Neodiprion lecontei: one gene and its partners. The main gene of each other region encodes a partner of the protein of the gene in region 2 in a complex. Links are inferred from orthologs where the notes say so. Each region holds a gene or a part of one and is shown on either strand. Other genes may lie near its edges.

Evidence for each region. Proteins that work in one complex are often made in the same cells at the same time.
Region 1: pre-mRNA-processing factor 6 (region 2) and putative U5 small nuclear ribonucleoprotein 200 kDa helicase share a complex: the UniProt entries of both Homo sapiens proteins name them as parts of the U4/U6-U5 tri-snRNP complex. The link is inferred for Neodiprion lecontei from reciprocal best matches to the Homo sapiens genes PRPF6 and SNRNP200.
Region 3: pre-mRNA-processing factor 6 (region 2) and probable small nuclear ribonucleoprotein G share a complex: the UniProt entries of both Homo sapiens proteins name them as parts of the U4/U6-U5 tri-snRNP complex. The link is inferred for Neodiprion lecontei from reciprocal best matches to the Homo sapiens genes PRPF6 and SNRPG.

Annotation. Positions count from the first base shown.
Region 1 is NC_060265.1:26,203,222-26,211,954, reverse strand, and holds the start of putative U5 small nuclear ribonucleoprotein 200 kDa helicase, read right to left. Parts: upstream 6,174-8,733; 5' UTR 5,924-6,173; coding exon 5,879-5,923; intron 5,630-5,878; coding exon 5,466-5,629; intron 5,330-5,465; coding exon 4,810-5,329; intron 4,615-4,809; coding exon 4,368-4,614; intron 4,221-4,367; coding exon 3,890-4,220; intron 3,793-3,889; coding exon 1-3,792. Other genes in the region: uncharacterized protein LOC107219073, read left to right, coding at 6,984-7,096, 7,192-7,252, 7,440-7,747, 7,991-8,176, 8,249-8,381. UniProt on the Homo sapiens protein: Catalyzes the ATP-dependent unwinding of U4/U6 RNA duplices, an essential step in the assembly of a catalytically active spliceosome. Plays a role in pre-mRNA splicing as a core component of precatalytic, catalytic and postcatalytic spliceosomal complexes.
Region 2 is NC_060260.1:29,830,799-29,842,906, reverse strand, and holds pre-mRNA-processing factor 6, read right to left. Parts: upstream 6,896-12,108; 5' UTR 6,844-6,895; coding exon 6,749-6,843; intron 6,636-6,748; coding exon 6,576-6,635; intron 6,482-6,575; coding exon 6,355-6,481; intron 6,089-6,354; coding exon 5,538-6,088; intron 5,466-5,537; coding exon 4,685-5,465; intron 4,456-4,684; coding exon 4,240-4,455; intron 4,129-4,239; coding exon 3,787-4,128; intron 3,657-3,786; coding exon 3,313-3,656; intron 3,200-3,312; coding exon 2,920-3,199; 3' UTR 2,776-2,919; downstream 1-2,775. Other genes in the region: serine/threonine-protein kinase mTOR, read right to left, coding at 1-2,217; sarcoplasmic calcium-binding protein 1, read left to right, coding at 9,088-9,139, 9,257-9,432, 10,516-10,645, 10,962-11,065. UniProt on the Homo sapiens protein: Involved in pre-mRNA splicing as component of the U4/U6-U5 tri-snRNP complex, one of the building blocks of the spliceosome.
Region 3 is NC_060262.1:2,038,763-2,045,991, forward strand, and holds probable small nuclear ribonucleoprotein G, read right to left. Parts: upstream 4,636-7,229; 5' UTR 4,435-4,635; coding exon 4,403-4,434; intron 4,253-4,402; coding exon 4,230-4,252; intron 4,024-4,229; coding exon 3,899-4,023; intron 3,797-3,898; coding exon 3,746-3,796; 3' UTR 3,674-3,745; downstream 1-3,673. Other genes in the region: zinc finger protein 60, read left to right, coding at 1-2,040, 2,215-2,480; transcription initiation factor TFIID subunit 8, read left to right, coding at 5,022-5,151, 5,243-5,529, 5,604-5,754, 5,858-6,004, 6,079-6,236. UniProt on the Homo sapiens protein: Plays a role in pre-mRNA splicing as a core component of the spliceosomal U1, U2, U4 and U5 small nuclear ribonucleoproteins (snRNPs), the building blocks of the spliceosome.

The sequences.
Region 1 (8,733 bases), on a different chromosome or scaffold from region 2:
AGGAGGACGCATTTGGCGTCGTGGTCTTCGAGCGGTCTGTTGGCGCGGGCGACCATTTGCAGAACATCGGTGATCGGATAGTCCTCGTAGGCATGAGTCTTGCCGTTGTAACTCTGGGTGTCCATGATTATAACGAGATGAGAATTTATCGACAGTCCCCAGCAGAGGTCCCGTGTCGCGACAGCGACCTGGATCGCTCCGCTGTCGAAGAGCTGCTCGACCAAATGTCGGTCATCGATCGAGAGTCCTTCGTGTAGATAAGCAACACCCTGCGACAGGGTCTCCTTCAGTGTCTTATCGCTCATTCTATCCAAAAACGGTTTTATGTCCGCTTCCTCCGCGTGGAAGAACCTCGACGGTTGTCCCTCCGCTGCGGTGAACGTGAGCAGATCAATTGCGGTCATTCTGGCCTGTCTCCTCGTTGGTACAAAAACGATCGCAGGTTTGTGGGGTGCGTGTCTCAGGATCGCGTTGTAAACTGGCTTCGCCATCGCCGCAAGGCGGGAGGCGTTGTGTGTGATGTTCAATCCTTGGACATGGAGTTCCAGGGGTATCGGTCTCACCGATGGATGGAAGTTGAACGTTGCGGCCGCCGGGGCGCCCAGCCACTGCGAGGCGTCTTTGGCGTCGGCCAAAGAGGCTGAAAGAGCTACTATCCTTGTAGGTTTTTCAAGCTGTGAAGATATGTACCTCGCCCTCGAACAGGCCACCTCAAGAACCGGCCCCTCTTCGCCACCGATGAGCTGGAGCTCGTCGACGATAAACAGCTGGATGTTCTGAACGTTCTTCCTCTGCTTCCACCTTCTTGACAGGACGTCCCACTTGTCAGCAGTCGTTATTATCACCTGACCTTTTGCGAGGAGTTTCAAGTCCGTGCCAGTTTCTCCCGTCAATAAAACCACCTTCCTTCCGAGCTGTTGATTGAACTTAGCTACCCAATCGCTGTACACAAGCTCCGCTAGTGCCTCTTTGCTCACCATGTAAACGCACCTTCCCTCGGGATTCTGAGTCAGCAAACGCAGCACGGCGAATTCGGCGATTGTAGTTTTGCCAGAGCCAGTAGGTGCGCCGATGAAGACGTTGTCGTCGGAATTGTAGACCGCGTTGAATACTTGCGTCTGGATGGGATTGAACTGGGGAAATTTGTCGGTGTAGACAGTTTCGAACTTGGAATTCCTCAACGCGGTTATCGGCAGCGGTTGTAAGTCCAAGAGCTCGGTAGGCGGTAGATTTTTCTCCGGTAGAATAAGGTGACGGAAGCTGACCGGCAATTGAGTTTCCGCACCGATCCATCTGTCCGATACGACCCGAAGGAAATATTGAGGAGGAAGAGGCTCGAATACCGGAACAAAGAACTTGATCAGGTGCTCGTCGCTGGCGTATTTGGCTTTGAGAAGGAAGTACTCGTGGTGAAGTATGACTTCCGAATCAACGTCTTCCACAAGAATCCAGAAGGCCTCTGAGGCACCATGGATCTTTTCATCCCATTGAAAGTCCGGTGTTATCGTCAACTCAACGCGTAGGGTGGATCTAGTGATGGGCTGTATGTGGGTTGACAGTTCCAGTTTAGGAAACTGGTGAATATATTTGTGAATTGTTTTACCAAGTTTAGGAACACGGATCAGTTCCCCGATTTCGTTTGGTCCAAGGTCGTAAAGCCTCTCCCACGGGAAGTTTTTCTTCTCAATCTTCTTCACTATTTCCTCGGGCATTTTTCTGAACTGTCTAAGCGGCGACATTGACTGCCACATCCTTCGATCGATCATTTTACAGAGGGATAGACATTTGTCCGCTAGCTGAGCCCAGCCTCGGAACAAGACAATCTCAAAAATAGCTCTCATCAGTCTGGATGCTGACTGCGTAACGTATACCATGTCAGACATTAGTGCGAAACCCTCAAGCTTCAATTGAGATATGTAAGCCTGAAGAAGAACGTTGACCTTGGCGCTCGGCTCTTCAATACTCTCCTTTATAGGTATGGGTACTCTTTCCATCAGTTTCTGTAACTCTAATTTTTCTTCTTCCCTGACGTTGATATTCTTGAATTCGCTTGATAATGAGAACACTCTGAACAGTTCAATCTCGCTCAAAGTACGCTTGAGGAGTTGATTGTAAGTGGACATGGTATCGTGCGTACAATAATAGTGGGACGCGATTCTACCTAATTCGGTCGCCTGAAAATGTCCAGATTTTCTATCATACTTAATCAATCCACTTCTGTCTAATCCCAGAGCAGCTGAATGTATTAAATCCGCTCTGTGTAGCTCTAGCAACGGGTCTTCCTTAAGTTTATCATGAGGTATGGCGTAGAGTTGTGGGCACCGCAACATCCTGATGTAGAGATAAGTGTATCCGAGCCATGTAACAGCATCTCGTATATTTTGAATTGTTCCAAGCACAATCTCCGCGTTCAGCATGTCTGACATCTTGCTTATAAGCTGAGATTCAATAGGGAGTTGCTGATTCAAAAGCGAGAGATAATATTGGAGCTCGCTATGGTTCGTTATCAGTATTCCCTCACCTTTAGTATCATATTGTGGACGACCAGCTCGCCCCAACATCTGCAGGACATCAAGCGCGCCCAATTCCACCCAGCGACCTTTCTCTGGGTTGTAAACCTGCGTGCCTTTGATAATTACTGTGTGAGCTGGCAAGTTGACTCCCCATGCCAAAGTTGCGGTAGATACTAAAACTTGAATGTGTCGATCGGCGAACAAATCCTCGACCAAGGTACGATCGACCCTGGTCATTCCGGCGTGGTGAATAGCGAAACCATACGGAAGCAAGTCTTTCAGTTCCTGATTCTTAACCTGCTCAGCTTCAGTCCTGAGTACTTCCATCGACGCAGATCCTTCACGCAAGAACTGACCAAGCGTGTCTTTCTCAAGACACATGTCTCTGATGGCCCTGGCAGTTTTCCCAGTTTCTTTTCTGGAGTGAACAAATACTAGGACTTGATTTCTTCCTGCATGTTCCATCGTTTTTTCGTACACAATCTCGTTCATCACCTGGAATCTCTTCAGTGCCTTTTTCTCAGTCACACCAATATACTGCTGCTCCAGAGCAACTGGCCTGTAGCTGTTGTCAAAGTAAAACAATCCGGTTTCTGGTTTTATCCGCAAAAACGCAGCTACATCTCGGTAGTTTGGAAGGGTAGCCGATAAACCGACTAGCCGCACATCTTCCTGGGTTGTTTCAATGTTTCTTATGGTTCTGGCAACCAGCGCTTCGAGAACTGGGCCTCGCTCATCGTGGAGTAAATGAATCTCGTCGATAATCACCAATCTGACAAGAGACGTGAAAGTTTTTTCGCCTCCTTTACGAGTTATTATATCCCATTTCTCAGGTGTGCAAACTATTACTTGTGTTGCCGCGATTTGTTCTCTTGTCAGCTGATGGTCACCCGTGAGTTCAGACACGATCAAATTGTAACTTGCCAAACGCTTTCCAAAGTTTCCTACCATTTCTTGTACAAGCGACCGCATTGGCGCAACGTATATTATCTTAAATTCGTCAGCGTTTATCGTTCCGTCGGCGTTTATGTGTTTTCCGATTTCTCGCATCATACAGAGCAGGGCGACGTTTGTCTTACCTGCTCCAGTTGGCGCACATAACAACAGATTCTCATCGCTTTCCAACGCCGAATTTTGAAGCCGACTCTGAATTCTGTTCAACGTTTTGAAACCCTCGAACGCCGGCTGTACGTATTTCGGAAGCTGATCAACTTGGTGCAGTTTCTCATTCTCCCCGAATGGCTTTGGTTTCAGTGCTGGGACATGGACCTCTTCGTACCTGAGATGAGAGATTTGAAGTGTTAGCTTGTTCAGTTTCAAATAGTAGCGATTTTCTACCAAAAATTTGTTCATCATTAAAATAAAAAATATATTACCCTTTTCTTTGTTTTCTGAAACTTCCATCTGGTAGCTGACAACGTTTGTTGGCCATAAAGTGACTTCCCTGAGCAAATATCAAATCCTCTAAATCAATCAGATTTCTCGATCCTTGAACTTGACCACCAGGACCACCAGCTCCATCCTCGTTCTCCTCCAGCCGCTTGCGTTGTGCACGTGCTTCCATTGTTTCTTCAGCATCATCATCACCCTTTCCCGTGTCTAGCTGACGCAAGATCTTTGCCAGAGACAAATCATCATTCATTTTATTTCTTATCTTTTGTCTCTCCGATTCGGATTGAGACGATGCCAACATCGTGCAATAGGCAACTGTAAGAATAGTCAGAATATTTAAACTTCCAAAAAACTAGATAAATTTTAATGAATGTTCAAATTGTAATCTTTCTGTTTCAACTATTTAATGATTCATAAATATTAGCTCTGTAATTATAAAGGTGAGTGTTGCTTGATACTCACTCATGTGTCTATATTTTTTAAGCTGTTTGATAAAATCAAAGCAATCATATCCTAACAGGAGAACCAGCTGATTTTCACAATCTCGATCATCACCCGCATCTCGTAACACTGCTAATACCTCAGCAGCTCTTGCTTGGGATACCATTGCATCATCGTATATTCTGCTCAATCTCCGCTGAAGCCAATAAGCATCGATATCTAACGGATGAAGTGGTTTTTCCTTCTTCATTTCCTCCGCACCACCAAGCTGTTTGAAGGGTAAAGAAACAGTTACTGAATGTAAAAAATTAAGATACTATACTGTAATATCTGATATTAAAATTGTACATATGAATAGAAAAGAGTTGAATAAAAATGCAATTACATAGAATTGTTAAAAGTTTATATGACTAAAAAACTTCAGACTTGATGAATATTTCAACTAAACTGACTAGATACATACGTTTTCCGCGTGAATTGCACGATCAATGTTTGCTTCTTCTCCTTCATCCCCTTCATCGTCATTTTCCCTAACCTCTCCGTACACATCTTCATCATCCTCTTCGCTGCTTTCTTCGAACTGAACATTTATACCATATGTCTCATCAATGTTCTCTTCATTTGTTGTAGTCTTTTCATCACTGCCAAAATCCGTGATTTTTTTCCCCAGATTAACCAAGAGGGCGAATCTCTCTTCTGCTAAACCACCAAGCAGCAACTCTGTTTCTTTTTTCTTCTCCTTTTCTTTTAATCTATCATTTTTCAACACAGCTAATACTTCGTCAGCAGCACCACAGAGAATATCACGTGGTTGATCGCCCAATGCTTCCTGAATGAAACTCAGTAACACTTCGTACGTCTGACGAGTCTCTTGTGTTTTGGGTCTGTATACAATTCCTACCATTTCATCAACACCCTCTGACAAGAGAGTGGCACCCTTCATACGAGTGAAGTCATATTGCGCTTCATCACGTTTTTGACGTCTGAGAAAAGTTGTACCGTATTACAGTCGTTAATGATTCAATTTAAATTTTTCATTTTAATACCTAATGCATTTTAGTAATTTGCTTTGCTACTGAATGTGAGAATAGTGCTATGCAAATTTACATCTTCACTCACTTCACTTTACGCTCTTCTGCTTTGCCTGGTTTCGTCCTTTGATGTCTATCGCCCATCCTGGTTCCATCCAATTTGCCCACAAGGGACATAACTTCTCCAGTCGCCTCATCTCTGCTACGTCTTTCTATAAGCCGTACGTCAGCTTGTAAGACAAGATTGGAGTTCTGGAACAAAAAGTCTTAAATCACCAAAGTGTTTTTCCAAAACACGTACAACAAGTAAGTTATGTTTTGGCAACCAATTAATACAACTAGAAATATAACCTATACGACGGAACGTTTTTCGTACGAAAGCAGAGTTCTCAAATTTTAATCGTAACTTAGACGCTGGAACAATAAGTGTTGCACAAAATTTTTTCTTTGTATTACAGTCGTACTTTAGCACATTTCTTGTAATGAAATAGTAATAATTACCGCTTTATATTCGTATTGAAGCTGCCGAGCCGCAGCATCCGCCATGTTTACGGCGTCGAATATACACACTGATCTCTATACCTCAGTCAGACTTCAGTAACGTACAGATCCAAGCGTCAACTATCCAGTCTATATACCTAGGTGACGCATTTGGTATTGGACCGAAACAAGGTAGTCGGAAAAGGAAGGCATAAATGAATTTACTGTACGGTGCTGTCATCAACGAGAAGTCAGGAGGCCAGTGGCTGGAATTTCACTGGCACAGATTTGCCACCGCAGTATTTTGCTGCCGAATTTTTGACCAATAGAAATGTCAATAAAGCAGGCGAGCGTTACCGAGAGTCCCTACCACGGTCTTACGGACTCTAGCGCTACCTGTGCACGCGAAAGACGAATTATCTATTTTCTTGGCATTCCTATTGGTCAAGAACTAGGCAACAAAATACTGCGGCTGGCGGCAGCATTTTCCTGCCCGTGAAAACCTAACAGTCGAGGCGTAGACTGCAGTGTGCGGATTTGCGTTTCTAGAATACCGAAACTCTAGTCAACGATCCAAGAAAGTTTCGTTCCATTTTCTCGTGCACATTAAGATTCAAAATATACCAAGTAAATAAATTCGAAGACATTTATAATCAGCGTAGACGAAACCGAAATTACGATTCAAGTTGAGCTAGAAGGTAAGCGCATATTTCGATTAGTTCTACTTGGATGTAACTTGTCCGACACAATAAAGCTTGTAAATTCAAAATGGTGCACATGCGCAGAGAGAATTTCATGCATGCGGTCGGCTTTTTGCACTTAGCATATTAGACGCACTTCTCCGAGCGTACCACGTGCCGCTATTTCTTGAATCCTCTGCCCTATTCGACTCGTTTTCATACTTTTAACGGTCCAGCTAAAAGAGTGCAGAATAAAAGAAAACACCGTGTAAATAGAAGTGAATAGCGATACCACGTGCTTATTCGGAAGCCTGCGTAATTGTGACGTGACAAGCAAAGAAAGTGCGTGGTCAACAGTATATACCTACCCGATTAACGTAACTAACTGAGCGATAAGATTGCTAGCGTCCTTTCAGATTTCGAGGACGGTTGACCGTCAAGACGCAATGGCACGGGCTAATAATTTAGACAATTGGGATCCGATGGCTGCTCATTACCGCGACGCCAACGTCAATTCGTACGAGCACGGACCTGGAATGAATCTGACGCCTTATGCTAGGTTTGAAATTTAAACCACTTGCAATATTACATCCATGTCGTGATCCCGGCTTAATACTGCAGCAATTCGCATGTCATGTCATCTTATAATTACAGGGGAGGACCGGAAACGGAGTATAAACTCTACGTGTCGAATATCCCAGCAGAGCTAGACCAGGTATGCAAAGTTCAACATGTGCAATGTTCTTTTCACAACTCCATTCAACTGCATGTTACATTCTTCATGACAAAGTATCCATTCGTTTACAATTTTTGGATTAATACCCCATTTTGACTAACACGTAAATACGAATTGCCGAAACGAGTGAAATTGTCATAGCGTTACGTAATAACCAATTGTTTAGGATGGTGTATCCCATCTTTTCGCGAATTACGGCACACCGTCCAGTGTTATATCCCCTCCGAATGCTGGCTGGGCGTTTGTGAGCTATACGAGTTTCCGTGAGGCAGAAAAGGCCATCAGAGAGGTCCATGGCGTCAAACCTTTGGAACTTCGCGTAACATTTGCAAAGAAACGTGAGGAACGACTCGATCGAAATATGGGCCCTCGCCGGACAATAGAATCCAAACCAGTACCTTTTACGTGCAATCCAGAGAACCAGCCGAGGGAGTACCTCAGTCCTGAACAGATTCCACGACATGCTGCACCGCCGTGAGTTATCTAAGGATACATAATCTAATCGAAAGACAGTTAAAAACTTCTACAAATGATTTATAACTTGTGTATATTACTCTCAATGGGTAGAGCATAGGTATAGTTATGGATAACTTTTCATCGAAATGAACAATTTATCCCTCAATACTGTTGACTCGAAAAATTTATCTCACATAGCCAAATCTGTTAGTAAAACTGTGTAACAAAACTAAAATTTTGATTTTAATAACTGCGTTGCAGTACCTGTAATATGGGTCGTGGTAAGAATTTGGCTGCATTGGTGCACAGGGCTGTTAGTGATCCTGTTTCTGATCCTGTGTACTATGAGGAGGATGATTGTTTATATCCAGTTCCCAATGATCCAGCTTATTATAATCCATATGAAAATGCAGAACCTTTTTTACATACAAATAATTTGTGGACTAGGTAAGGTTTGTTGCGCTCTTTATTTTTTACACTAAAGTTTTGCTGTCATCAATACTTTTCAACCTTTCTCAGAGATCGGCTGAAAGTATCCACTGATGGGACCAGATATGTTACCATGGGGCGTGGCTACACCAGGTATGAACTGCCACCACGATATCCTAATGTGCACCAGCATATAAGAGCTGTTTACGAAAAAAGAGAAGCCGTAAGTTCATATTTACCTATATTCAATATTCGATTCTGACTTATCAAAAAGGGTACTGTCTAGCATATGAGAGAATTACAGGAAATATCGCTTACGATTCAATTGCGATGCATTATCTCTACCTTTTCATCGCAAAATTTTACTTTTTGAATAGTGTAGCTTGTTTAGCCTCACCTGTCAATAAAATAACAAATTACATCAGATAAAGTTTTCGTTACATTTTCCAAAACCTGTTGTGGGCACCTCATGTCAAATCGAATTGAGCTACAAATTTAAACAAAAATTTTACAATCCTATTTGACTTAATTGCTTGTGTATTCATTCATGGCATAATCTTTGCAAAATTAGCAGA
Region 2 (12,108 bases):
GTTAGGCTCAGGTTCTTTCATCTTCGGAATGAGAACTTTCAAAATAGGTTCCATGTAAGGTCGAATGAGTCGTGGAGCACTAATTACTAAATAATCGAGCATCCGCGAAGCCTGTTCTTTGTTACGTCCCATACCAGAATGTTCAAGCTCTGTTAGAAATTGGATCAGCGTTTTCCGAAGTGAAGGCATAACGTAGGCTGGATTCATAGTACTCAATCTCCCAATTGTGTAGATGGCGAGTTCTCTGATTTCAAAAATTTCATCATTCATCGCAATAAATAAGGCTGACAAACTTTCTGCTTGAGCAAGATGAATGTCAAAACTTTTATCAAGCGACGCGAGGACACATAATCGCACATCTGGATCAGTGTCTGTGATGCCGACGACTAGTAATTTTCCTAGCACTGTAGAAACTGTATTGGTAACCGTTGGCCCTGGTTGATTCAATGCTAGCCTCAAAAGCCTGGAACATGTTTTCACAGCTTCCAAACGGACCTGAGACTGTTCAGATGTCAAGAAATGGTCAGCGCATCTCCGAACAAACTGGAGTAAAGGATTTCCATCAAAATTAAACGTACCAAGTGTTTTCAGCGCAAGCACCGTCGAAGGAAGGTCAGCTTCTGCAGTTGGAGCTGAAATTGGACTTGTAGCTGACCACGGAGCACCGGGATGTCGCAGTGGTTTGTGCATCAGTACTTGTGACAGCATTCTCAATAATCCTTGAGAAACATCTGGCTTCAAAGATGGTATACTATGAGCTAATTCGCGCAATGATGTTGTAAGAATTGGACTCAGACCAGTGGCAAGCATTGGCTCTAAGAGAACCTTTATATCTGGCCCTATAGTTTGCTTAACAGCATGCCCTAGCAAAGTAATGCAGATAAATACAGCCGGTTCAAGTGTGGTACCTCGTTTCTTACTCGGCGTTTCTTTTGAAGGTAAAGAAGCTTTAATCACTTCCATAATTTCCGGAAGATAAGGTTCTATGCCAGTCTCAACTGCAACAGCAATTAATCCAATAGTTGTAAATGCTGCATGTCTATCTTTTTCGCGGCTTCTTAAAGTGATCAAAAGATACGATATACTTTGTGCCAAGTGATGCTTGTCAAATTTTTCTTTATTGAAAGCAACCAGCCGTGGTAATAGCGTCATCAGCGCGTGTTGTATATGAGGATTTCTTGATAGTTTTTGGTTCATAACATCTGCGTAAATATTATCCAAGCCCTCCTGTAATAGACTGCGACAAGCGGCAGATTCATGAACCGGATGAATTGTCTGCAGAGTATTGGATCGACTTGGAACTGGGCCTGTCCAATTTGGTACAATCGGAGTTTTGAGACGAGGAATGAGAGACAGAATATCATCATCCATCTGTTGAGTAGAGCAATTAAGTCTCTCCATCAACGCCTCATAGTTTCTTTCCCACTGAGCGTTACTGCATCTCAATAACTCGTTCAAAACTAATAAAGATCCGTGAATAGCGGCATCCTTGTTGGACCCTCGCCCCTTAACATCAGCATCATTGAAGCATTGTACAACTTCGTGAAAGCATTCTTTGTACCATTGCGGTTTATGCATTTGCTTTGTAGTTTCTCTTTGAGCGGTGACAACCAGAGCAGCTCTGAGAGCTTCGGTAGCAGCTTCTCGTATCAGCGGTTTGGGATCACGTATCGCGTTGAATATGAGATCAAAAAACGGAGATACTTGTTGAAAAAAATACGTCGGCATCGAGACGGCTAATTCTCTCAGTACAAGGACAGCTGCATGTCGTTTCCCCTCATGCCTGTCTCCGCCAAGCCACTCAAAAGCACGTTTCACTTCAAACTCGACATACTCTGCTGTGTAGGTGCCAGAGACAAGTGCGAGTTTCCCAACAGTTTTTGCAGCCAATTCCATAACTCCAACATCGTTCGACGGCAATAGATTTCTTAGATAATTTGCAAATCTTATAGTACGAGTGTTTATATTACCACCATCAGCACCGATTAGACAAACTATGGCTAGTATACCTCCCTTCTTCTCATTCATGTCAGAACCAGAGACCATTTCTTTTATGTGGTGATTGAATTCGTCCATAAAATTTGTCATCTCCTCCTGGGAGACTTCACGTAGCTCTGTTCTGACGTAAAGAGATAAATCATGTGCCGCCTTAATCCTAACATCTTCGTGCCGCGATTTAAGTCGCTGAACGAAATCCAGCACTTGCGAATGCGTCATGTTTTAAAATATATATTAGTTTTCACTTTTTGACAAAAACGTTCAATTACGAGATGTGACACTTGTTTTTTAAATCTTTACATCGGGATACTACATTGCCCGATGTCCACCTGAAACAGTTAAAAAACTGGTCAGTATGTATAGGTTAGGTTCGAATCACAGTTGCCGTGATGATACGCGTAGTGTGAAACGTAAAGAATTTACGAGATAATAAATGAGAATAACGTTAGATGTAACGTTGCGACGACACCTAAATTTTCTACTCACGTTATTCAATCATCTATTTGGTTAACACGTATTTTTAATTCGCGGCGCAATCACGCTATCAGCCACAAGCGCCATTTTTAGTAAATATAAAGTGATATAAAGTAAATACGTAAGGCAGCTCCCATTATTCATGGTGGCTCTATAATAGATTTAGTGAACTTATTCGCTAAGCTAGAATCTGATATGTGGCCCAGCTTCTATTGGTGAATTTTAACTTGTGCATAGACAAGATTTTGAGATTTGATGCTGTCAAATTTCAGCTCAATTTTCAATTTTTGCTGCATTTTATGTATGATATTTAAATCAAGAAGGTACGTAAACAATTCGTACTTAATGTCGTTTAATATTACCATCCTAAACATAATATATGTATAATACATTTACAGTAATCTATATTTATAAATACGGTATTATTTTCAATTTTGACACTCGGTTTTAGATAGGAATCGGTAAGTCTTTAGAAACTACGGTCAATATTTGGTCAGTATTTAAACACCAATTTACAATGTTTTTAGATACTCTGCACCAATTTTCACCATGATGCGGTTCTGCGGCTACACATCGCTTTTTGACTTCCTCTTGCTGTTCCTCAGTGCCATTTAAAAGCTCAAATTTATAAAAATACGCCCAAGCATCCCCTAAATCAGGATCTATCTTAACGGTGCGATTAAACCAATCTCTGCACTTGGATATTTTATGCTCACACCAAAAAAGCCTGCAACAGATACGATGTATAATTAATAACGACAAACAGCTCCCCAAACTAGGAGAAATTGAATAAACGTGAAATATCTCGCTGAACTTGCGTAATCTGGGTTTCCTACGTACTTGGAGACTGCCAGTAGAACATGGGGATCATGTTCACATTTTTTCAACGCATCAACGCTCTTCGTTTTCCGTTGTGGTCGTGCTTCCATAAAGATTGCTTCAGCCCATAGCAGACCAGACGTAGGACATTCTTGCAGAGCTTTAGCCATCAACGTATTAGCCATGTCTCGCACCCCTCCACCTTTCAATTCATTTCGAATAGCTTCTAGCCAAAGCTCCGCATTTTTCGGATTACGAAGCCGTGCTTTTTCAAGTACAGAACGAGCCTTTGTCACTTGACCTTTACGCTGTTCAAGTTGAGCTAACAAACACCACAATGGCACAGAAGTGGGGCATTTTTTGATCTGCAAAACAACCAGGTAAATTCTCACATACTTCAATCGATTTTATATAAGAAATGATCTGTTTCAAAATTACACATTTCGAACTCTTCAAACTATCACGCTGGAAGAATAACAAAAACGATTTACTCACAGCTTGATTATATGTTTCCAGAGCTTTGTCAAGATTCCCTTGTTGCTCTTCTATTTGAGCCTTCATTAACCAAAGCTTGGGAAAATCCTCAAAAGTTTCTATAGCTTCCTGGAGGAGATGCAGTGCAGCTTCTAGATTATTAAGAGCCCATTCAAGCTTGGCACTTTTCATCATAACTCTAGGAGTTGGCGCTGATGCTCTAGCTTTTGCCAACAATCTTCTGGCACGTTCATATTCGGAGTTCTCTGACTCAAGCTTGACTGCAGCTAACCAAATCTCTTCAGAATTTGGATTGGCTTGGAAAGCCAATGACAAAATACCTCTTGCCGCTGGCACGTCACCCTTGATATAGAAATAATCATATATATTTCAACAGTTACACGTTATTGATACTGAATACGTGTAACAAACTTAATTGAAGTAAGAGGATGAAGTATAACACCGATTACTTACAGCAAGCCATTTAGACTTGGCACCCATGAGCCACAGAACTTCGCTCTTAGGACAATGAGCCACAGCCCGTTGGAGTAGCGCTTCCAAGGACTCCCGTGTTCCGTAACTCTTTTCAAAATATGCTGCACGCAGCCAGATCGATTTTTTGCTGGGAAAAGTTGCTAAAGCATAAGCATACACTGCTCTAGCACATTCCAAAGCACCTTGTTGTGCACACTGCAAATAATTGCATTTATATTGTTCAAATTGACTGTACTTGTATAGATTTATTAAAAATAGTTCCGAAGCAAAGTTATTTAGTAGCTTTTCAGTAAAATTTGTTAAAACTAAAAAACCACTGCCACAATTTATTTCAACTGTGTGAAAATCGATTACTCAGAACCAAATATGTCACCTGATCCAAAGGATTTTTCATATTTAATGGTAGATAATAAACTGTACTTACTGTTTCTGCATCTTCCATCCAAGTGTGTTTCCTATCTTCTTCCTCAACTCCAAACCCGATGATGGACTTGACAATGACTTGACAACAATGGACAGCACCAGCTTTTTCAGCTTCCATAGCTTCTTTGAACCAGTGTTCTCTGTTAATTTCAACTCCGTTAACGTTCAAGGAACTAATTGCTCTGTCAATGATCTTTTCTACCATATGCTTATTGCCATTAGCTTCTTCTAGTTTAGCAGCAGTCGTCCAAATCTGTCTATCCGTTGGAATATTTTCTCTAGCTTTATTAAGAACTTTTCTCGCGTTATCGTAAGTTTCCAATCGGGCCAAGGCGAGCCACAAATCGACACTTGTTGGACAACACTCAACTGCTCGACTCAATAAAATTCTTGCATCTTCTGGTTCTTCCAACTCAACAGCTACTTTCCACAACCGTACTGAGTTCGGAATATGCTCTAAGGCTTTTCGATAAACACGTCTCTTTGCCTTAACTTCCGTTTCCAAGTCAGCTGCTTTGATCCAGATTCTAACAGATGTTGGAATGTGACGTACAGACTGGGCAATTACGGCCTTTGCCGTCTCCGGAGGTTGAAGCCTCGCCGCTTCTAACCACAAGTCTTCAGAAGTTGGATTCACCTCACAGCCCTTCATGATAAGATTTCTTGCTGCTTGAACCTTACCCGTAACTTCCTCTAAGCGGGCAGATGCTATCCAAGCCGGGGGATGATTAGGATTTGTTTCACGAACGGATTTCAAAAGCAATCTGGCCTTTTTTATATCACTGAAAAAAATTTCAATATTGTATTGTAAATTAAATGGATAAACTGGTGAAAAAATTTTTTATGAGACTTACTTGATGTCGCCACCGTAAGTAGGAATCATACTTTGTAGATCCGTTAAGTAACCTTTGGGATCAACAACTGTTTGACCCTCAACAGAATCTGATACTTGATTCAGTTTCACATTCATAAGCGTGTTTCTAGCTTGTCCAATTTTTCGCAAATCCAAGTCACCGGTTGGGGTCAACATACCAGGTGTGGCTAGGCCAGGCATCATGGAAGCCAGTCCATTAGATGGGTCTATACTAGTAGAAGTGTCTCCGCCCAAGTTTCTTGCTAAAACAGAATCTGGCAAAGGCGTAAACTTTTCAGCTCGTGGATTCCGCTGTTTTCTATTACGCGCATCGCCAACTTCGGGAACATTTTTCCATTCATCCTCAGACACATTAACCAGTTCACGCTTCAGATCTGAAAACTGTTGCTGGATTTTAGGCCGTTCTTGGCGATAACGTTCAAGTTCTTCTCTTAGGCGCTTTTCACGATATTCTTTCCGCTTTTCATCCATGCGTTTATCAATCGCTTCATAAATTGCATCTGCTTCTTCATCATCTTTGTCATAAGGATCCTGGATAGAAAAGAAATCACCTGAGGTTCAAAGTAATAAAGTTATTCTATTGTGCCCAGATTAGGAAAATAACTGGCAAAAGGGTCTATATTTCAAGTGTAGATTAGCATATAAAGAAAAATGCAATTTACTTAGGGTAATATGAACTTATGCTGCAAATTGAAATACAAATATGAATTAAATCTATTCGCAGTAATACTGAATTGCTAATACTATAGGAGGTAAACTTGAATCTTCAGCGCTTTGCTCGTCAGACAATACCGTACCTTGCTAAACAGCGACCCTCCATACCCGGAGAATTCGTCATAATTGGAATCGTTGAGATCTTCTTCATCCTCTTCTTCTTCTTCCTTTTTCTTAGCTCTTTTGGTAGGTGGAGCGTGTCGATCGTCACTGTAAAATTTTTACAAATTACAATAATGAGTTGAAGTTAAAACATGATGTCAATCAGCAGAAATTAATTAGCAATTAAAGTGAGAAATCTTACGAAACATCGTTGGCATCGCGAGCTGGACCGATATCAGAACGAGTCGTGAAACCTGTCGCACTGTAAACACAAATAAAAAGCGAGGTTAAAAACGTCGCTAAATCGTAGACGTCAATTTCTCCTCGCCGGTAAGGTAATATTTATGAATTAAAAAATGTATTAATCGAAATTACCCTCTTCCGACACCAGCGACATAGCCCAAGGGTGCTGGAACCCCTAGAAAATGCTTTTTATTTCGCGTTGAAAGCGAAGCTGATGGCACCGCCATGTTTATTACATTCTACACTATCGCTGCGTGACGACACGACGCCAAGCGGTAAACACTGAAATAATGGATTACTTTTGAATCTTCAGCTTTACCCGACACAGGCTGGTTTTGCCAATTCCATCACGAGATACAGCAAATCCCTCGGAAAAATTCGGTGCTATACTTACAATTTTTATTCCCAACAATTAACTTTCAATTTTTATTAACAATTGTTGAAACTATACTGTGTATTTTTCTTGGCCTTAATTAAGGGATTCACAGGTACCATCGCTAATTCACGCCATATTAAAAGTAAATTGTATTCTTACATTCTGATACATATATCAAATTTTTACATGTATGAAATTCAGTATTAACATACAGAGGTCTCGCGATCAATTTTATTTAAATACGGCTGTTGTCGATAGCTTCTTAGCGAATTTGCTCTCAATTATCATTATCCGTACGTAAAATTAATATTGTTAATTAGATTTTGGCACGCATGATAATTGGCCACGAGGTTTTTTGTTTAGGAGTCTCGATTCCCCTTGGTAAAATAATCTGATATATCCCTGGTACTGAGAACTATTCAGACGTGTCATTTTTCAGTTAAATTTCCTAGAACCGATGTTAGAAATCACAGAGCAGTACTTCAGGCTTGAAATGTGACGTAAACCGACAGATCTAGAACACTTCAGCCAGCTTACTGTCGAGACCACTTTCTTCTTTATGTTTTGTATACAGGATGGCAAATGTGTCGGTCTATTTATAATTTAAAACTAGGTGTAAGTTAAATCAAAAATCAAATTGACGGAAGAGTATTTCATGTCCCGCATCGTTCGAGCGGTATGGAAATATTCAATTCCATGAGTGATTAGTTTAAGACAATCCAGGCTACGGGTACATCTACTGTAAAGCGCAATATTTCAATCGAATCAACGCCATGTGAATTAAGTAAAGCTCGCTCAACATTCGGCCTATTTTCAGGATTGTCGGAACGACCGTATTGTACGAAACTTACAGATTTGCAAATATCAAACAGTTTAGCATTATTGCAATTATTTTAACATCGCATCTGATTGTGAGCGACTGAATAAATAATAGTTCGATCGGCAGCCACATAATATAGTGACCGATTGAAGCCTCTTTCCCATCTTATTATTGCCTGCCTTTACATTGAATTCGACTCTTATTGCAATCTGTTTCAATCAAACATATTTAAACATCATTGAACCGGTCAACTTGTTTTGGCTTACACGGGTATAGTTGTGGTAATATGCTCATATACTTATTGTTAGATACGCCTAACAATAGCTGTATACATCGTGCATGGGCGACCGGCTTATTAAGCCGAGAGTATATACATAGAATGTAGAATAAGTTTATTTAAAGCCGGCCACAGACAGTTTGGTGTGTAACAGTGTAACGCCTTCGCGATGACCGGTAGCAGGCAATTAGTCAATTGGTACGCGGACACGAATTAGTGAACTAAATTATCGAATCGATCAATCAACTCGTTCTTCGCTTTAGCAACCATCTATAAAACCGTACTATCGTTGCGGCGTTATCACAAAACTGTTACGCGCATGTCGTACATGTTTCCACACATACCTACACTTACACGCGTTATGTCACGCACTGCATGAAACCCCTATAATTTTCCGCATATGCAATTGCCTGTACCGTTCAAATGTGACGGTAATTCGTACGAATGTAGGTATGTATAAATTAACCCGGAACCGCGGTGCGGACAGACATATACGTGCGTCTTTGGGTCTTGTTAAGACGTCTCGTTCGCATTTGATATAAATGTTAGAAGAAACATTAATCAGACAACCGGCGCGGCGCGAAAAGCCTTTACAGCCGATCTCAACCGCATAACTACAAGTTGAACGTAATCGGTAATTTACAACCAGACAAAACGGCTACGATTCCACCCATCATCCACCACCTGTGCAGAGGATACGTCTAACTTTTCCTCACAGTATCCCTCGTCGCCAATTTCAAGTACCGCTACCGATATTCAAGCATATCTAAACTTAGACCATCCAGCTGCGGTCTCAGATTGTGTTCAGTATTCATGAATTCGGTGTGACGAACGTTGCTCGCAGATTTGTACCTTAATTCCCGAAAGATATTTTGGATTCGAAAATTCACGGGTTTGTACAAATAGTAACGGCATTGAATTTGTAATATATATTTGTTTGTTGAATAACTAGTCGCATTCTTTGAGAAAAATTACAGCGTTTCATTATCGAATAAAATATGGCATACAGTTGGGATAATCGAGTCAGCTTCATAGTAAAGTTCCTTTACGGTTAGTACAATTTTTACATTACACGAGAAACAATAATCGTAGCCGTACATTTCCGTACTACGGAATTGAGGAAGAGTATTAACATGTCGTATTTAACAAGATTTATTCCGCAATCAGACATAGATAACAACGGGGTGCTGGATCAGCATGATTTCGAGTGTATGGCTCTAAAAATGACCCTTGTCGAGGGTAAAGGTGATTTCAACTATAATCACTATCAAGAAAATCTTCACGTCATGCTTTCGCTGTGGGAAGAAATCGCTGAACTTGCGGATTTCAATAAGGTAGAATTTGTAAGTCATCGACATGAATTTTAAGCACGTTGCTGTCTTTCTGTCGTTCTGTAATTGGTAACGTAAGTTGTAACTATCATATACGTATAATGGTAACATAAAATTTTTATATCCATGTGTCACCTGTAGTAAGTTTTTGATAACTATACCTGTTCGTAATTCTTACGATACGGAGAACAATATAAATTTGCAAGAAATTTTATTCCAATCTGTAAAATCATGATCACTCGATTGCTCTCAAACTGTAGTAATAACTTTGAAAATTAACGAACCACTGTCTCGAGCGATAAAATTCAGAAATCTATTTTCCAAAATAAATTCGGTAATTCTTGTATGTATTTCACAAATATTCATCACTTTAACTCTGTCAATTCACGTAAATCTAACTTAATATTAATCGATTACGTGTGAAAATATTCAATTGTCGTTTGTCTGGTGAAACTAGAGCCCTTTCCACCAGCATGAAATCCGGTTGATAAGAAAAATTTTGTATACACACGAGTGGTAACAGATTTCTAATTCAGAGGGGAGATAGCAAAATTTTCACGACTATGGTCGTTACGATGACTCCGGTTAAAACTATACAGTTTCGTTCGGAATCCATATTTCTTATGATTTCTATAAATTATCCAATTTAATAATTTACCAGTGATATTCCCTCATATGTACACGTAGCCCAAGTGTGAATTTCTATGAATGTTCTTAGCATATGGATGTTCTTACTATATTTGTCAATAGTCATGAATTTTGTTTGATGGACAAAAATGGTAATTTTGTTGGAATATTTATACCTGTACAAATACAAGTAAGGGGTTTTAAATTGCATATTTATCTACCGGTGAATTTATACACAGACATAAGTATATAATTGAAAACAATATGACATAATTGAAAAATCGAATATGTTTAGAAGTTATTTATTTTTTCCATCGATGTTTTCTTGGCACAATGCCGTTTACACACGAGCCTAGTGAATCCTGATCCATCAGGTCAAATTTAGAAAGCCATTTATCCTGAAAGCAGACAGTAGTCAATATAAATGCAGTGAGAATGTGTTACTGTTTTAATTTTTAATTTCATCAGGATGGAGTAGTAACGACAGAAGAATTCAAAGTCGCGGTCCAAAGAAGCTGCATGGGAAGACCTTATCGTGATTTCCCTCAAGCGATGAAAATGTTCATAGACAGTCATTTCAAGCTGGTCGATTTAAACGGTAAGAGTAGGGCAATATGCAAAAATGAGGGTTTCACCTCCCGATGTATTGAATAATTTATTATATCTCAGGTTTGGGAGTGAAAACATTTTTACCGGTTCGTTCACAGTACGAGCTGACTCACGAATATATTATAAACTGCAGTAACTAAAAATAAGTGAGATAGTAGGCTTCGTAGGAAACTACTAGCAATAGATTCGACACCCGAGAACTGCGCGTCACGCCTTCTTGATGTATTTTATTTTTCACTTATTACATCGATTCTGTACACGTACAAGTCTAAAAATGAGAATGAATGTTCTTCTTCTTCTTTCAGACGACGGAGTTATCGCTGCCGACGAATTTCGTTATAATTGTGTTATGAGAATTCCAGTTGACAACATCGACGCTCTTGACGATGCTTATCAAAGTCTACTTAACGTATGGAATTTTTTATTCATATTTTATCGAAAATATAATTGATTTGAATAAGTAATCTCAGAGCAAGTTTATTCTCAATAAGTCGTGCAGTAATAACCGCAATGCAAACCCAAATTTGAACTTGAAAATATCTCATTATTCACCCAGTAAACCAAAACGAATTGAAATGAATTGTGTTAGTCAAAAACGAAATTGCCACGAATTAAAACAAATTGAATAGAATCAACAGACCTGTGTGCCGATTCTTTTCAATTCCATTTGATTTGTTTTAATTCCATTTTTGTCATGCTCAATTCGTGTTGGTTTACTGGGCAACTGCCTCGGAGCTACGACAGTATTAACACTGACGAACGATTAACGTTACACGTAAATCAAACCAATGCTACGCGAAATTTTGAGTGAGTTTGTTCGAAAATGAAAAAATATGGAATGAGATGTGGGGTATTCTAGGTTTCTGGTACCATTACGTCTTGGCTGAGAATTCGAACAATAGATTGAAGCTTTGCCAAGTGCCCGAAGCAGAACAAATATCACGATCTATCATTTGTGAGAATTGCAATAGTCACCGGATCATTTACCACCTCAGTCACGCATATAATCAAACACTCCTTGTTTATAGATAATATTTTTATTCGAAACAACATCGTCACGGAAACAATTGGTCTTACATTTATTTGCAACTCCTTCATTACAGTCCCGGGTGAATTTTCTCGAAGGGGTTCAGACATAGAGCAACGTATAAGTCACATACTGTAACGTCGTGAAATAATTATAAAGTGATATGCACCTCATACGGAGAATTCATTTTATCCAAAGAATGCAAAATCCGAATTATACGCAGATATATTTCGAAAACAGTTTTTTTAATTCACAAGGAAGTCACTGCTTTGCAACGGTCAAATATTTTTTAAGTTTCAACTAAATAACATAAAAAGTAATATCTAAAAATTGGATAAAATAACGCGAAGACTTATCCTCGGTATTTTAAAAATTTCCTACGCGCGTACTTTTTCCAAGGAGATGTTCAGCGCGTTAAATTGATC
Region 3 (7,229 bases), on a different chromosome or scaffold from region 2:
ACGTTGACCAGGGTGGAGTTCTACCAATGCTAGCTGTGGGGATAGAGGAGAACGAGATCAATGCCCCGGTTGAAAAGCATTGCAAAAATCCGCTGTGCGATGCATTGAGCATAGATCATGACCGATGTCGACGAGCGTTGATTAAACTCTACCGTTGCGATTTGATGAGTGCTTGCGACATTTGCGGCGTTGTATTCAAGACACGGAGGTCTAGGATGAGTCACAAAAGCTGCATCAGGAAGGAGGTCTATAGGCACAATCAAACAGACGGTGCTCAGATACTTAGGGAAAAAATGAGGGAGCGAGAACTGCAGATGATCGAGGCAGCCAAGACCAAGAAAAAAGAACACTTGGACCCGGCCACTGAGTACAAAAAGACTATGGAGTCCCTGAGGAATAACAAGGAGCTGATCATCATCCCAAAAACCATTCCCCAGCATCAGCCAATTGTCACAATAAAAACACTGTCCCCGGGCAACCAGCCGAGCGTTGTACAAAGTACTAACTCCCGAGAAGTCTTTGGAAAACTTTTGCCCTCTATTCCGATTGTTTTCCCACCACAGAATACAATCGTCGGCAAAAGACCGGGTTCTGAGACCAACGAAGGACCCGCCGTGAAGCAACCCAAGATAACAAATGTGTTTTGCACTCCACCTCAACACGCAAGGCTTGGTCAACAGTACATTAAAGTTTCCTCGGTCACGCAATCCAACATCGTTCAGCCGATGTCTCTCAATGATTGGTTCGCTTCTCAGGCAAATATCGTAACCTCGAGCCAAAATACAGCTCTCAAACCTTACCTGACCCCCATCAGAGTCGTCCCTATCACCAGCCTGAAGTCAGCCCCTTCGCTTCGGCATCAAACTCACGGTATTCCTGCGTTTTGCTTGGTACCGGACAATCTTCCCAAACCTGTACCTGTCTCAAAACTGCAGGCCATTCAGCCAGCTCCGATAGCTCCTAGCCCGCCAAGGTCTGTTGCACAAAATAATGAAACAGAGAATGTAGAGCAGCAGAATTCACAGACAGCAAAAAGTGCGACGAACACAAGAAGGAAATCTCAAGCTCGTAGGAAATCTGAGGAGAAAAATTCAAAGGTTTTCAAATGTCCTTATTGTTTCAAGGGTTTCAGCACAGATTGGTATTTCAAAATGCACGTAGCTGGGCACACGGGAGAAATGTTATTCACTTGCAAAACGTGTGAAAAACCATTTAGCAATAGATACGATATGAAAAAACATATGCTCAATGAGCACAATGATGGCGAATGCAGATGCGAGATTTGTGGACAGATATCTATATGCAAATCGGCACTTGAGATTCACATTCGGTCCCACACCGGTGAAAGACCCTTCCACTGTACAGAGTGTGATCTGTCTTACAGATCGAGCACTGACCTTAAAACGCATCAACGAAAGCGACACAACTCTACGGACTGCCCATACTGCCATATTCATCTTGTAAAGGCAGATCTTCAGGCACACTTGGTGTCGTGTCATCAGATGACGGAAAAAGAAGCATTGCATGAAATTCTGCAAGGACAGGAACAGGCAGTGAATGGAAATGAATCGTCCGAAATTGAGGTGTCAGATTGTGAGTCAATGGCAAATGGAATCCTGATGAGAATTAAAGAGGAGCTCATAGAGGAGGCAGCAGCTGTGAATGAAACTACGAAGTTTCAGAGTAGTCGTAATGGTTCAGATTCAAACAAGAGGAAAAAACAGATTGCAAATAAACCTGCCCATACGAAGTCTAAAGGAAACGGTGTGCACAATGCAGAGGGAAACCAGAATGTATGCAATTTGAAGGAAACTGAAACTAAGCCTATCGTTGTCAGGAGGAGCACTAGGAGATCGAACTCTAATTTTCAATGTACCATTTGCAAAGAAAATTTCGATAGCTCCACACTGCTTGATGATCATGTAGCTAATGAACCCAAAGAAACTGTGGAATGCCTCGCATGCAAGAGCTTGTTTCACAGCCAGACTGATTATGATAAACATGGCAATAGCTGTGGCAAAAGTTCCTGCAAACAGTCGTGTAAGTATCATAACGAGTGAATTGTGTAGAATACAGAGTTTAAATGTATAGAAGAAAATTTAAAAAGAAAATTTAAAAAAAAACTCAAAAAATCGTACCTTTGTTTGATTATAGAAAAAAGCAGTTGAGTGAATTTGAACAGCAATGATCTAACGATAATTTGCCCTCCTGCAGCTTGCCTGAAAAATTCAACAACTGGACCGCTGAGACCATTCCAGTGTGAGATCTGCCTGAAAGTATTTAAAAATGATGGAAAACTCCGTATTCACATGAATCTGAGTCCGCAAAATTTCATAACGTGCGTTAGATGCGGCAAGAAATTTCACACTAATCGCGAGTACAGATTGCACATGCACAATAATTGTGTTGAATTAATTAAGTGCCGTAAGTGTAACCGACAATTTTCAAACAAAAGAACACTTGATAACCACATTTGCTGAATTCAGAAGGATGAGGGGTACACTGGATTCTTATGAAAAAAAATCATTATTGATTTGTATGTTTTCTGTAGTTCTCTCGTTATATTTCGTTGCTAATAAGTAGGCCATTATACACTAAGTTATTACTTTAGCTAATATAATTTTCTGCATTGCATTGAAACTTTTCTTTGTACTCCCCTTTCTTTTTTTTTTTGACTGCTTACCGCACATTACGAAAGTAATAAGGTGTGTGTAGAATGATTCTATATTATCTTAAACAAGGATATCCTCAAACGAATTCATATAATTGCAAATGTAAAATTTTAAGATAAGAGGAAAAAAAATTAAGGTATTTACCGAGTATTCTGCACACTATTGTCAAATTTTAATTAAAAACTATGTGAGGGTAAGATTTTATGGTATTTCTGACAAAGGAAGCTATATTTGCTTCTTTATTTTATATACAATGTATAAAGTATGCACGCATTTATTTTTATGATTATACCTATTATTATTCTTGTAAGTCAGACCTTTGTTCCTGCTTCGAAGACTGATGAGCACTTACGACAGCAAAAATCCTCAGCTCATCGCAGATAGTATTATTAAAATTTTAGTTCCAAAACGGTTTCATTAAATCGGAATTATTCAGTCTAATAAAAACATCAGTAAAAAGATTGATTTTATGAACATAGCAAATGTATTTTGACATTTTTAAAATAGAATTTGTATAATTTTTTTTTTATTCACTTCACCTGAATAACTCATTATAAGAATAATTGATTTAATCCAGTATGTCTCTGTACTGTGCAGTACGAATCTCAAATTGGCAAACTAACCCCTTGTACGATATTTTCGTATTTTTATAAAATCCAGTTATACATGTAACAGCGAAATGCCTACCATAATTAATTATATGCCATTGCACCATTTTTTTCCAGATTATATTTTGTGCACAATATATTTAATAATCAGCTTAGCTGTATTGAATGTTCACTTTCTCGTTGTTCCGAGCTAAGAAATGTGAGAAAATTGTGCTGCTTGGAATCCTGTTTTTTTTGTTTTATTTTATACTTGTATTTGAACATAAACGTTTGAATTCTTTTAGTCTTCATGATTTTTCTCCAAAATTATTGTCACTCCTAACTTATCATTCAATCATTTACAACTATGTGTACACTGTAAAATAAGTGAAAAATTAAATGTTAAATACGGCGTTACAAATACAAAATGTTTTTATTCTTTCTTTTTCTCTTAAATACATTCTTCCATCCGATTCTTTTTAATAATTATATTCTATCCAACGCCTCTAGCATTATGACACTGTTTCCTCGAATGACCTGAAATAACAAAAATGATATTGTCGTCAATACTTCGTGCGGATATAAAAAATGATTTGCATCTTTCCTCAAGCAATTGCTTTAGATTTTTTAAATTCTTACCACCATTCCAATGTTATTCTTCGTTCCGTCTTTGCATTCTTCGACTGTTTCGTCAATGACCATGTTCATGAACGGATCAAATCCTCGCAGGATGCCAATCACGTGTCTCCCGCCATTCAGTTTTACTGCCAATTGAAAGTATCGTTAATAAAATACATCAAATACCATTCCTCTCAATTTTCTAGAAGAGGGTTTCGTGCGCAACATGATATTTGGCAATATCAAATATTTATAACCTTCCAAAGCTAGGTTCAATGAACGTTGAAAAAATAAATGAATATCCCAAACCAAGTCAATATTATTTGATACTAATTTAATCCTCTGAACTTACGGGATAACTTTTTGTCCATGTATCTGAAAAATATAATGAAAAATTAGTATATATGGGCAATAAATGTACCGGTAGGTGAAGTCTAACCTTAAATTTAGCAACGTAACCTAAAAATTCTTGGCAAAGAACTGCGGTTATTCGGCGTCGGTTTGACACGCAAGTTTATCACTTACTTTTTCAATTCTGGGGGATGTGCTTTGCTCATTTTTAATAGATGTGTTGAATTTTAATTGAAAAATCGGGGCAGTTTGATGCTCACACTGTCCAACGATGAGATTACGAACAACGTAAAGCGACGTGAGACGCTTTTACAAATTTGAACATCTAAGGTGTGTTACTGCGCAGCCATCTCCACGAACAAGTCGTATTAAGAACCAACCGTATGAAGGCCATCTTGGATTTTCAATTGATCCCATTCAATACCATCTATATAGCGTACAATTTAACAAGTAGGAATCTCCACTGTACTTATAAGATACGTCATATAATTTCAAGAAGGCTTCTATGGTCGGCGCAGAACGGGACGAAATAGCGTCCACCGGTGGAACACGCTTTATTTTCTTACACTATAGGATGCTTCCATCGTAAGGTCCACGAAGCATGTAATACCATTTGTGGTAAGGTCAGAGTCAGGTTAGGTTAAAATTACAGCCAAACGAGAAACGAGATTTGAGAGGAAGAAAGTAATTTCTCCTGAAACCTCGTTTCTCATTGGCTCATAATTTGAACCTAACCCGACTCCAACCCTTCGATGGAAACAAGACCAAACAGTAATAGCCAGTTGTATTAAAAATGGAGACCCAAACAGTAAACACGAGAAGAAAAGTGTTAAATCATGTAGTTTGCAGTATTTTGGTCGAAAATGGTTTCGAAACGTGTGAAAGACAGGCGCTGGAAACCCTCACCGAAATGTTGCAGGCTTGTAAGTGAATTTAAGACTTCTTGAACGCTGTTAAACGAGTTTACCCTATAAACTAAAAAAGAATGCTTACCCGTAATTATGAACATTGTAGTTATCGTCGAGGTCGGAGATTCGGCGAAAAATTACTGCGAGCTGTCTGGGCGGACCGAGCCTCTGATAGCCGATGTTATTCTGGCCCTAATTAACATGGGAATCAAATTAGAAGGGATGGAGACGTATGGTAAACGTCTAAACAGGACTGTTCTGCCCCAACTTCAACAACAGATACAGGCCAAACAGCTCAATATTTTACAAGCTGGAGTAAAGCAAAATCATCCGTCGCACATACCTAATCATCTGCCACCATTTCCTGATCCTCACGCCTACATCAGGACGCCGGTGAGTCATAACTTCCATCAACTACTCATCATTTTGGTAGCACATTAGTGTAACTATCGACAAATGGTGTTCAGACACATAAACAACCTGTGACGGAATATGAAGCTATCAGGGAAAAGGCTGCATCGCAAAAACGGGACATTGAACGAGCCTTGACAAGATTTATTGCCAAAACAGGGGACACGCATAGTCTGTTCTTGACCGAAGACAACACCATGTTTCCCTGTAAGTGGTAGAATTAATTGAGTTTGGAAATTTTCAAAAGTAATATCTTATATTCTAAAATTATTGTTTTATTTATTAATGGATTTTCTCAACTTCTCTCAAGTGATAGCATGCAAGCCACAATTTCCCAGCTATTTGTCAGCACTTCTACCACAGGATCAAGTTTTTGAGCCTGATCAAGAGTTCCAGTTTGAACCGAGTCCGGTTCAAAAAAAGAAGAAGGCACCGCCTGTAGAAGACAAAGAAGAAGGTTTGTTCATAATCTATAGAGACAATGAGTCAGAAAAATGGTGAATCTTGTACTGATGATGTTTCAATTTTCAGCCCAAGCACAAGCAGATGGGACAGAGCAAAGTGGAGAGGCATTAGCCCAACAAGATGTGATAGACAATCCTTATTTGAGGCCAGGCAAACTGCCAAAGAATAAAATAACTGGTACGAATCCGACTGGTCCTGGAAAGAGAGAAGCGACAGACGTATGACTAAAGATTTAGGTATTATTTTGATATTTGGTTTTTAAGCACGGAACTTACTAACTGACAATTACTTTATTATTACTGATGCACAGAGGAAGATATTGTATATTTATATATAGTAAATTAAGTTATCATAAAATTAATAAATATATTTTAAAAAAAATAACAATCCGACTTTAGTTACTCAAGTTGTTATTATTGTTATCATAAATTGTGTAAATTTGCTGTGAGTCATTTTTTAATATAAAGGTCTACTGATTTATGTTGAGTACAATATTAATATATCTGTAGATATCCATAAAATTGCACAGCTCACTAGCACCGATATACATACAATAAGAAGGCAGCGTTTAAGGATTGATAAACATCACAACTATTTAAAGGGACCCTAGGTATTGCACGAGACATTATAAAAATAGATTATACAATATCGCATAGACGTACATATAACGATTACCGATTACATATGCACCCTACATTGCGAAGCTATTCATAGCTTAATTGGAAGCCTAACTAATTGCTTTTATTATAGATAATAATGACATGAGACCTTCATTGATTCTGTGAAAAAATATTAATGCCATGACAGTGCGACGATTTGATAACTGCAATTTAGTATATCAAATATGCAAAAAATTTTTTAACAAGCCTTTGTGAAATATGAACTATGCGTTCTTTGTTCAATGGATGAAGATCGATTATAAAATATTTACTTTCACTTATATTCTATGTAACAAACATGATTGGATTCGTCTAGACTCCTATAAAATGATAGACCAGGCATTGATTCGTAAAGTTTACTGTAATACCCTGTTTCTAATTTCTAATTTCCATTTATTTTGCTCTTTCTTGAAAGGCATTTGATTGTAGAAAATCACGCAACTACACGCGATTGTCGGACAAAATTTATTTTAATTTGCAGACAAAATTAGGTGTAACGAACACAACGACCGATCCAAAATTCAACACATTCTAAGTTCAGTCAAGTTCTTTCACCAC